Linked DNA regions of Drosophila melanogaster. The protein of the gene in region 1 purifies or fractionates together with the protein of each later gene. This does not show direct contact. Each region holds a gene or a part of one and is shown in the gene's direction. Other genes may lie near its edges.

What was found.
Region 2: the proteins of betaTub97EF (region 1) and Vhl purify together in Drosophila melanogaster (affinity purification with western blotting, with the first as the bait; one study listed by BioGRID). This does not show direct contact.

The regions. Positions count from the first base shown.
Region 1 is NT_033777.3:27,984,940-27,990,142, reverse strand, and holds the start of betaTub97EF (beta-Tubulin at 97EF), read left to right. Parts: upstream 1-1,758; 5' UTR 1,759-1,987; coding exon 1,988-2,044; intron 2,045-5,203. Other genes in the region: CG4815 (uncharacterized protein), read left to right, coding at 1-377.
Region 2 is NT_033778.4:11,277,316-11,281,782, forward strand, and holds Vhl (von Hippel-Lindau), read left to right. Parts: upstream 1-2,409; 5' UTR 2,410-2,562; coding exon 2,563-3,099; 3' UTR 3,100-3,718; downstream 3,719-4,467. Other genes in the region: Cpr47Eg (cuticular protein 47Eg), read right to left, coding at 670-1,011, 1,080-1,091; CG9067 (uncharacterized protein), read right to left, coding at 1,621-1,666, 1,731-1,810, 1,876-1,963, 2,024-2,193, 2,248-2,280; CG9062 (uncharacterized protein), read right to left, coding at 3,792-3,835, 3,959-4,064, 4,123-4,317, 4,380-4,467. UniProt on the Drosophila melanogaster protein: Involved in development of tracheal vasculature. Probably involved in halting cell migration at the end of vascular tube outgrowth.

The DNA.
Region 1 (5,203 bases):
GCTACGCCCAGCTCTGTCGATCGGTACTGCATCCAAGGGATAAACTCATTGCAGCCGGTTGGGGATTCGAAGGCGGCGTTTGGGATGAGTCCAGGAAGAAAACATTTCGCTCGATGAAAGTTGGTATTGTGAGTAAACGAGATTGCGAGAAGCAGCTGGATCGCAAGATGCCACCCAATATCATCTGTGCCGGTGCCTACAACAACAAGACTCTCTGCTTCGGCGACTCCGGTGGACCACTTCTGTTGGGGCGGCAAGTTTGTGGCATCAACACGTGGACTTTCAAATGCGGCAACAACGAAAAGCCAGACGTATACATGGGTGTGCGATACTACGCCAAGTTTATTAAAAGAACTATTAACAGAATGGGCTTTTGAAGAAATTTATTTGAGTATCACAAAATAAAAATACTGTCTATCTAAGTTTACAACTTAGTCATAAATTAAATTTTAAACTGGTATTAAGTGTGTGTGACTCGACAGACTTCATGTTATTCCATTTCAGCAGCGTTTTTTATTGTCAATCTCATGAAGCTGATAACCTAGATGTCTAAAATGACTAACTAAACCGCTTCCAATTATTCATGTAGATAAGTTTGGTTTGTTCAAGCTACGATTCTATGATTTACAAGGTTGTAATTGGAAAACAAAAATATACTGATTAAATAGCATATAATAAAATATATGTTCAATACTCAAACAACTAACTTTATATATTTCAATTACATTTTTACATTTGGCTACATTTCAATCTTGTACGTCCATGTACAATTCTACAAATCTGATTGAAGAATGCAGTTGTAGAATGTAGAATGTGGCGCTCTTTGCACCTTAGACTCACGTGCTGTTACCTCATTCTTCGACTCTCTTCTTTCTCTCCCCTCTCTCTATCTTTTCCCTAAGAATTCTCACCAGCTCAGCGAAGCGTAAGATGGGAGAGAAAGAATTGCATTGTTGGCGCCTAGCCGGTAAAAATCATACGATAAAGGGGAAAAGTCGGGAAAAGCGGGAAGACAAACACGCTGCTATGGAAAATATCTTGTTTTGTCCCACAGTTTCACTTAAACTAATGTATTTACGACCTCTGCTCTTCGCGCTCTCTGCACTTCGAGAAATCAGGGAAGATATTGCCGCAATTTTGGATAGTGATTCAAATAAATATACTCACTAATGAAGAGGAACTTAGCATGAATAAATGGTTCGGGTATTCATAGGTTTTCGAATGAAATTTGTTTTTATTGTTCATCATTTAAGAGGCATTGTTTTAAACATAACCAACGTTCTAATTAATAATCTTTATCTAAAGTATTGATGTAATTTGGGTCATGTATTAATGAAATGTTCCACCTGTAAAAAAAAAATAATAACCTGTTTAATAAAATAAACCTGTTTTATAGGGACTCTAAAAATGTATATACAGCTGTGCCCAAGATAACAGCAGCACGTTATTACAACTATAATATTTATAATTTTTAAGAGTAACAAAAGTTTCTTTGTAAAAACTTTTGTATTTTTAGAACTCTGATCTCTGATCATCTGTTTGATATGAAAAATTGTTATACTAAATTCAATACATCACCAAAACTATCTACAATATATTAATCTAAGATTGCAAACCATAATTTTATCATTTCTTATCATGCCAATTTGTAAAGGCATTTTTTTATAAATATTTTTCCGAGTGGAAAACTAATGCGGCCCCCTTTAACCGTAGAGCACAAATTCCCCAGCGGGTCGCGTTCGGTTTCTCGCCATTCATTCAGTTCACGTTGGATTCTCAAAGCGAACGCGTGTCGATCGTTCTGCTCACGAAAAGCTCTCCTCCGACTCTTCACCGGATTCAACCGAATGCGTGACCGATTGTGACTCAGATTCGGATTCAGATTCAGATTGATATAGTGGCTGATAATTGCTGATAGTGCGTGTGTGCGTCAGTGTGTTCAATTGAGTTAAGTTTGGCTGCCAAAAGTTACTAGTTCATTTGCGAAATGAGGGAAATTGTGCATCTGCAGGCGGGCCAGTGCGGCAATCAGATCGGTTCGAAGGTGCGTATAATTGATATTCCATCGGTGTTCGCATCACAGACCTTTGCTCTATTTTATAGCTACTTTTCGCTACTATCCTAACCTCACATGTTTAATTATAAAACAGGGGGAAATGAAGAAAGAGCGCTCTTTGCCTCTCTCACTGCGACTTTCTCTCTCTCTCTCTCTCTCTTGGCTTTTCACGTTTTGTTTTTAGTGGCCAGCAATTAAAATGGGTGGGGGGTTGGTGGGGGGTGGCATAGATTATTTTGCCAGTTCGGGAAACTATAAAACTGCAAAACATTGAAGAAACCTAACGTACTTGGCACTTATCTTATCGCTCGCAAGATACGAATATCAGCAACCTTAAAGTATCGCATTTAAATTACCTTGGACTCGCAGCATATCGCAGTGAATTAAACCCAGAAATCCGCTCGCAAACTAAGCAAAATCACCTCAGTCAGGTGTAAACAATTAGATCGCCGCTCAGTTGAGAGCTTGTGATCAGCCGGCTATGCAAATCTGCACAGCAAGAAAAAAAGTAGTACCTTTAAAAAGATAAATAAACTTTATATGATTATTTAATCGTTATAAAGTAGTTTCCATTTAAACACAATTATGATTTAAAATTGAATTACAGATCCTTTTTATTCATTTGTTATTATAGAATAGAAGTTGATATTTTTTTTTCAGTGTACCTGGAGGTTTCTCGTTTCAAGAAATCCGATCTGTGAACCAAGTATTTTTGGCGGGAACTCAGAGTAAAATGCGGCAGCTTAGTGCCCTGTTAGTAGCATTTTGAAACTGGCTCGAAGGTTTCTCAGAAACTTCCGTCTTTTGGACAATTAACACAACTAACTGGTTCTGTAAACTAGTACTTTTCACAGGCTTTTATGATGTTTGCCCTCGCACAGTTGGCTGATCTTACTGTCATAAAGAACTCGTCGAAGGTTTCGTGGGTACTTCTAATTACGACAGAGGGGCTTGTAAATAATGTATCTGTATCTTGAACCGATATATGTATCTGATTCATGGCTGACTGTGACAAAGTGGCGGGCTTATGTGTGCGCTGCTTTCACTATCGGCGGCCTCTAATCAGTGGGCTTGTTTACACAACTTTAAACATAAATACCCGAAAAGTAAGAACTGATATGGGTTGCGCCGAAAATAGCAATTACATAGTGTGTTCTGGTATTTTGAGTAGAAAAGCGGCAGCATGTTTGCGGGCAATTAGAGGAGTGGAAATGAAAACAGCGCCCATTCTAAGCTAATTCAGCGCATTAACATTAACTCGCACAATTTGCTGCGTCATGAAAATCCAGCTACAAAAAGTCGTTGACGTTTGACACAGTTTTTGTTTTTATAATGCTTATTTTTTTTATATGTTTTTGTCTTTTTCCCGGCATTTCCCAGAGCAGTTTTCTCTGACCGTTTCTCTTTGCGCTCGCATTGCGCGCTTTTCCTCTTGAGTTTTATGCAAACACATTTCCACATATTTTAAAGTACTTTTTTGCGTGTTTTCACCACTGCCTTTTGCAGTTAATTAGAACGCACTTTTCCGGGATAAGCCAAGCCCAACATCCGATTTTGTACGCCCCCGAATCAGAGCATTATTACATCCATATTTTGCGGCCATTGTTATGTGTAGCTATTGTGCAGTTAAAAAATAAATACGATTATTTATGCAATTTGCGCTTATCGAATTTTTATAGATGGCATAAAGCCTGTTTGTTGGTGCATTAAATTTGAATATAATAATGGCGAACATATTTTGTTGCATGTCCTATTCATGCTCTTGTGTTGTTTTTTTTTTTTTTTTTTTTTTTTGCACACTGCCCGATTTTGTGCCTTAATTGAATGTCCTTTTCTGATTAATTGGCTGTCAGTATGAAATATTGTTGCAGCCTAGAATAAACAAATAATAAATGTGCAAAACTGCCTACGTGGCAAAATAGTTTGCACAATGGTGAATGGCGTAAATGGTGAATGTGATTTTTAAATAAATTTTCAAAACTAATTGCTCCGCTGATAAAGGCCAATAAGCAAATAAAAAAAAAAAACTTAACAGATTGATTACACATTAAGAGCAGAGCTTATTCACACATGAACGGGCTGCAAACAGAATGGATTGTAATTATAAAAACAGAGCTTAACAATTGAAATCCCGGCAGCGTACGCATGTTTTGTAAACATAATGTTTTCATTGAATCACGTTAAGTTCAATTCGATTTTAAGGCAGACAGCAATTTAAGCCATTCTCTTGGCTTCGATTAAATATGGCAAAATGCCGTCGAAAACGTCTTCCGGCCTTCCTCTGCCAACACCACGAAATTGATCACATATGTATGTATGTATGTATCGAGCGAGGCAAAGGCATCTATCCAAGGATATTTTGGCCTGCAGCTAGAGTTCGTTTTTCTTTTTCTTCATTATTTACATAAACCTAATTTTCCCTAAATCATTTTGTGAACAATAACAAGGAAAATCTATTTACGGGCACGGCATAAAGCCGAAGGAAAAGCGTTGTGCCACCATGGCGGAGAAATTTATAGACGAGCAGAACGTAGAAAATGGGAGCAAAAGGGGAAAGCGGAGAAAGTCAAGCAAGAACAGACAATAAAATTAAAGAGTGGAATAAGCCAGGCTGCAACGGCTCCTTTTAGCCAGTGTGGCATGCAGTGTGGCACACCCATATAGTCTGCCCCAGGATACGTTTGTTTGGCCCATAATGGCAGGGCATCATCGAGCAGCGCCAAAATAATGCACAAAATTGAATTATCGATGACGCTCGCTGGCAGCCGTAATTTCTTTATGGTTACCCGATATCGAGCCGGGTAACTGGGGAATCGGTCGGATTACATTATGGCCCGGCATTACGGCTTGCCACGTCATAGGTAATGCCATCGCTCGTATGCAAATGCAATTTTCAAGCGGCATTGCATATACATATTCCGATGCTGATGGGTGGGCCAGGATAAACAAGCCATCGTTAACTTAGTTGGCATCTTCCATTCAGTTGGATCAAATGTTGGTGTATTATACTCCACTTGCCAATTGTATTTCCACTTTCAGTCGACTGGGTTTTCGATATCAATGAATGTTGATTAGCAATCGAAGATTGCACCTATGTGAACCGATTTCGTGTTGGTTCTTAGAATGGTCAACAATTACCTCAGTAAC
Region 2 (4,467 bases), on another chromosome or scaffold:
AATTTACGATGGCATTCACTTTACCCGTCGACGTCATAATTGCAGTGGCATAATCTGCATCGCACAACTTAAACGGTCGCATCACTTTCAAAGACCAAAAGCCTAACATTTGCATCGCAAATTATGACAACAAAGAGCCTGATTATCCCATCGCGATCACGTGACTAGATAGGGATTGCTAAATGTCTTCAAACAGAAAAAAAATAACTATACCCCTTTTCATTATTTTGATATGATCTGCATAGAATAAAGTCTAATATATGGAATTTCTTATTCTGAAATATGCAATGGGAACTAGTCTACTTCTATTTCAAAACCGCAAAACCAGGTCCGGTGTATATGGATATGGTTTAAAAACCGGTAAAAAACGTGATTACGTAACAGTGATCCTAAAGTAACAGCTCCTAAGTGATCCTAAATCGAAAGTGAAAACTGAACGACCCCGAGTTCAGGGGCAGCATGGCGTTTGGGTACAATGTTCATCTGTCAGACCCATACATATTACGTACTAATATAATTCATCCGTCTGGTAGACCCTGACCAACAAGTTTCTGTCCGCTAATACGATGCGTATATATGTTTGTCTACTCGGTTTAAGAAGCGACAGTCCTTTTGGGAAGAAATTAAAAGTCTAGGAAAGTAAAGTTCAACACATTTATTTAACATTATTTATTGACTTGGGGGGTGGGCGGCGATGTACTCCAGAGAACGCTGGATGGCCTCTGGAATTGGTGGTGGGGTGGGCAGAGGAGGGTTGGCAGACACCACCTGGTAACCGTTGGCATCGGCGATATATTGGATGGACACTGGCACATTTTCGGGAGATGTCCACGACTGGCTTCCCTTCACCACCCACTCTTCGCCGTTAAGGTCACCCTTCTGTTGCACATTGACAGAGTTGTCCAGCTCAACAGCGTAAGCAAAGCCGTCAACATTCACTTGCTGCTCGGCACGGAGAACATTGGCATCTTCGTTGGCGAGGGCGACGGCCAACAGGCAGGCGAAAGCAATCTACAAGGATTGTAAATAACAAATCAGCTAGAATCATTAAAGGATCAATTTGCGATAAAGCCACTTACGAAGAACTTCATGTTGATTGTTGAAAGACTTGAGAAGGCTAACTGATATCGAACTGGAACTTCTGCCTGCTTTTTATATGATACTGATGCTCAGCTTACCTCTGCCGGTGGCGCCCAAGTTCAAGTCTAGAGACGCGTAGGATTTGATTTCATTAATTATGCATTAGATAAGACAAAATACATGTTTATGTGTGCCTCGTTATTGCCGTTCAGTTAAAGTTCGCATTGAATCCCATAATAATGCCCGAAACAGACGGAAGACGAGTTTGACGCGGAGACATTAACTAACTATGTGTCAACTAGCAGACACATTGTAAAGATATAATTAATTCTCGAATTATTTTTGTCAAAAATGTCGAATTAGCATAATATTTGGCTACGGCTAGCCAGCCAACGACCGGTTTGCGTATCTCCGGTGCGTATCTCTCTTGAGTCTAGCTTGGAGCGGGCACTTGGCCAGGCCACCTTGACATCCCTCCTAGAAAGACGTATGCATTTGATAAATAATTCGCTTTATTATTCGTTCAGTATTAATCTACAGCTAGGCAGTGCCGCTCATCAGTTTCTGGACAGCGCGATCGAACTTCCTGCAGATATAAAAGTAACGTATTAAGAGCAACTTATATATTCTTTAAGGAGAAGCCCGCTTACTTTGAAGTCAGCGATTCGCCGGGAATGTAAAAGGGATTGCAGATGGCATCGGTGTAGAGCAAGTGGAGATTTCGGAAGATCTGGAAGATACAGAGGGTAGGAGGTATTTGGGGCTTTCATTTAGATAGTTAGATTGGATACCCACTGCTCGAACTTCGTTTTCCCGAAGGGCAACGTTGCTGGAGTCGATGACCACTATGAATTTCACCCGAGTGTTGGTCACAAAGCCGTATCTGTAATGAAATCAACCACCAATCAGTTGCAAATTCACCAGCATAACTACACCCAAGTACATTTTGTGGTTCTCTGTCGAGTAGAGCAGTCCCAGGTACAGCTCCTTGGACTCCGGAGCACCCTTGCCAATCAGGCACTTCTCCTCCACGACGTCTAAGGCGGCGTTAACATGATATTGCAATTCCAGTTCCTGCTCCATATCGGATGTGGTCAGGTACAGGGGGGCGTTCTGTGGGGAATTTGTCATGCAATTAATTGTATTCAAATGAAAAATAAAACTCACATCCTTGCCAATAACTGCTATGCAAAATGCCATATTTTGTTATTTCTTGGTGTTTATTTGTTTACTTTTCGCGAGAGGCGGAGGCAAATCAGCTGATTTACCCCTTATCGATAAGACATTCATCGAAAGTGTGGCCAGCTGCAGTGACACGCAGCAGGAAAAATGTTACCGTAACTGATAAGAAGTGAATTTTATCTATACTTGTTGTTAGCTTGTTGTGATTTGATTCAATCCAATTCCCACGGCTTGTGCAAACGTAAAACAACGAAAATTGATTTGGCAGCCATTGCAGATCGGCTTAGCACCCTGCTGGAGATGGCGCTCCAAATAGCGCAGAACAACCGCGACGGCCAGCAGCTGGTGGGCGCTGATCAGGGAAAGGTGGAGGTGTACGTGCTGTTTGCAAACACCACCTATCGCACCCTGGATCTGTACTGGGTGTGCGAGCGGGAGCGGGAGAACATGTACCTTACCCTCAAGCCCTTCGAGGAGGTGCGGGTGAACACGTTCACCACACACAGCTGGCTGTTCCGGGATTACTACACGGGCGAACGGATGCACGTACGCTCGCAGAGGATCTTTCAGCCGATTCGGGTGCGGGTACCCAAGAGCCAGCAGAGTCCGGATCAGCTGGTTGACGTACGCAGCGAAGTGCTGATCCACTTTCCGATGAGATCGCTGCGCGAAAACTGCCTCTGGCTGGTCGCCCGCTGGCTGATCCGGACGAGCAACGCGCCACGGAGGATTATCCACGGATACCACATACCCTCGACGCTGAAGCAACAGCTGCTCAGCCTGCTGACCTGCATCGAGTCCTATTCCCGAGTGGCGGGCACGCGACGTCGGCGTTAGGAGCACACTCCTAGTTGTTAGTTAAGAGGGCGGGTAATCATCTTAGGGACTGAGAGACAGGCTTGATTTCCAAATAATTTAATAACTTTAATTGATTTCCATCCTGGTTTTCGATTTTCGCTTATTACTTATGTACAAATTGGCTTGCATAGAGCTCTTTACAAGTTGGGCTACTACCATTGCATTGATTTTTCTGTATATTTAACAGATTTCTTATACCTATGTATGTTCTATGTAAATAATTATGTATAAACCTAATGTGAAACAAGTGTGAATATTACATACATACATATATGCGCAATACTCTAGGTCTAGTTGCTTCAGATGCAAATACGATTTAATGGTATGTCTGCAGTTACTCCTTTGCAATGCTTATCTACGTGTGTCGCAAGCCTAATTGTTATAAGTCTGAATCTGAAGTACATATTTATTCCTAACGAGAAGTGAACAAACAAAAGTACTCCGGTGCACTTTTAAATTTAAAGTTAACGCTCGTACAGATTCTCCTTGAATGTGTTTGTGTTTGTCCACGAGTCGAGTCGAGAAGAGATGAGACGAATCGCAGGTTAACTCAAATATATTGCAAAATCAACTTATAAAAATATAAATTGTTAATCGATCTGCTCAATCTCGTTCTCATTCAATAATGCATCGGTACTGCTTCGGTTAGGCGGGAGATCACTTGCCAGCGTTCAATACTTGCGCGTCACGCGCTCCAAGCTATCCCCGATCGAACCTATGGGGCGGATATATATAAGCACAACTCTCGGTTAGGCAATAGCAATTGCAGAAATCAAGTATGCGTTGTGTTTGTGATAGGTGTTCTTGTGTTGTTCAATGCGTGGGCTCTCTTATTTACCATCGTAGTTGAAATTCTGTTTGGTCTTGTACTGAAACGTTAGATCGGTCGACTGCTTCCAGATAAAGTGGCGCACCGTGCGCAGGTCCATGTTGGGGTCCACAACCTTTAAAGGAAAGGCGGTGAACAAGGTCCTTTAAATGAGATTTGTCCATTTGTCTTACCACATCGTTACACCACAGTTCAATTCGTTCCTCAGCTGGCAGTTGGGATCCCTCCGAATTAGCATCGCTCTGGCTATTCTGCAGTGAATTGTTAGCATTGCCCCCACTTGGGGTAGTTTCCGCATTCAGCACCTTTTCAAGCACGTGCTCGCAGACCTTGCGACACTGAATAAATTCATTAGCCACAAGACGATCCTAAAAAATTTAATATAAATTGCGTTAGAACATGAGTTTTGTTTGCTGTCAAGGACGGCTACCTTCTTCGTTCGTTCAGGCTTGGTCATTTGCGGGTGAGGCTGCAGGAAGAACGGTATTTTGAGGAACTTGGGAATGTTCTTCTCGATC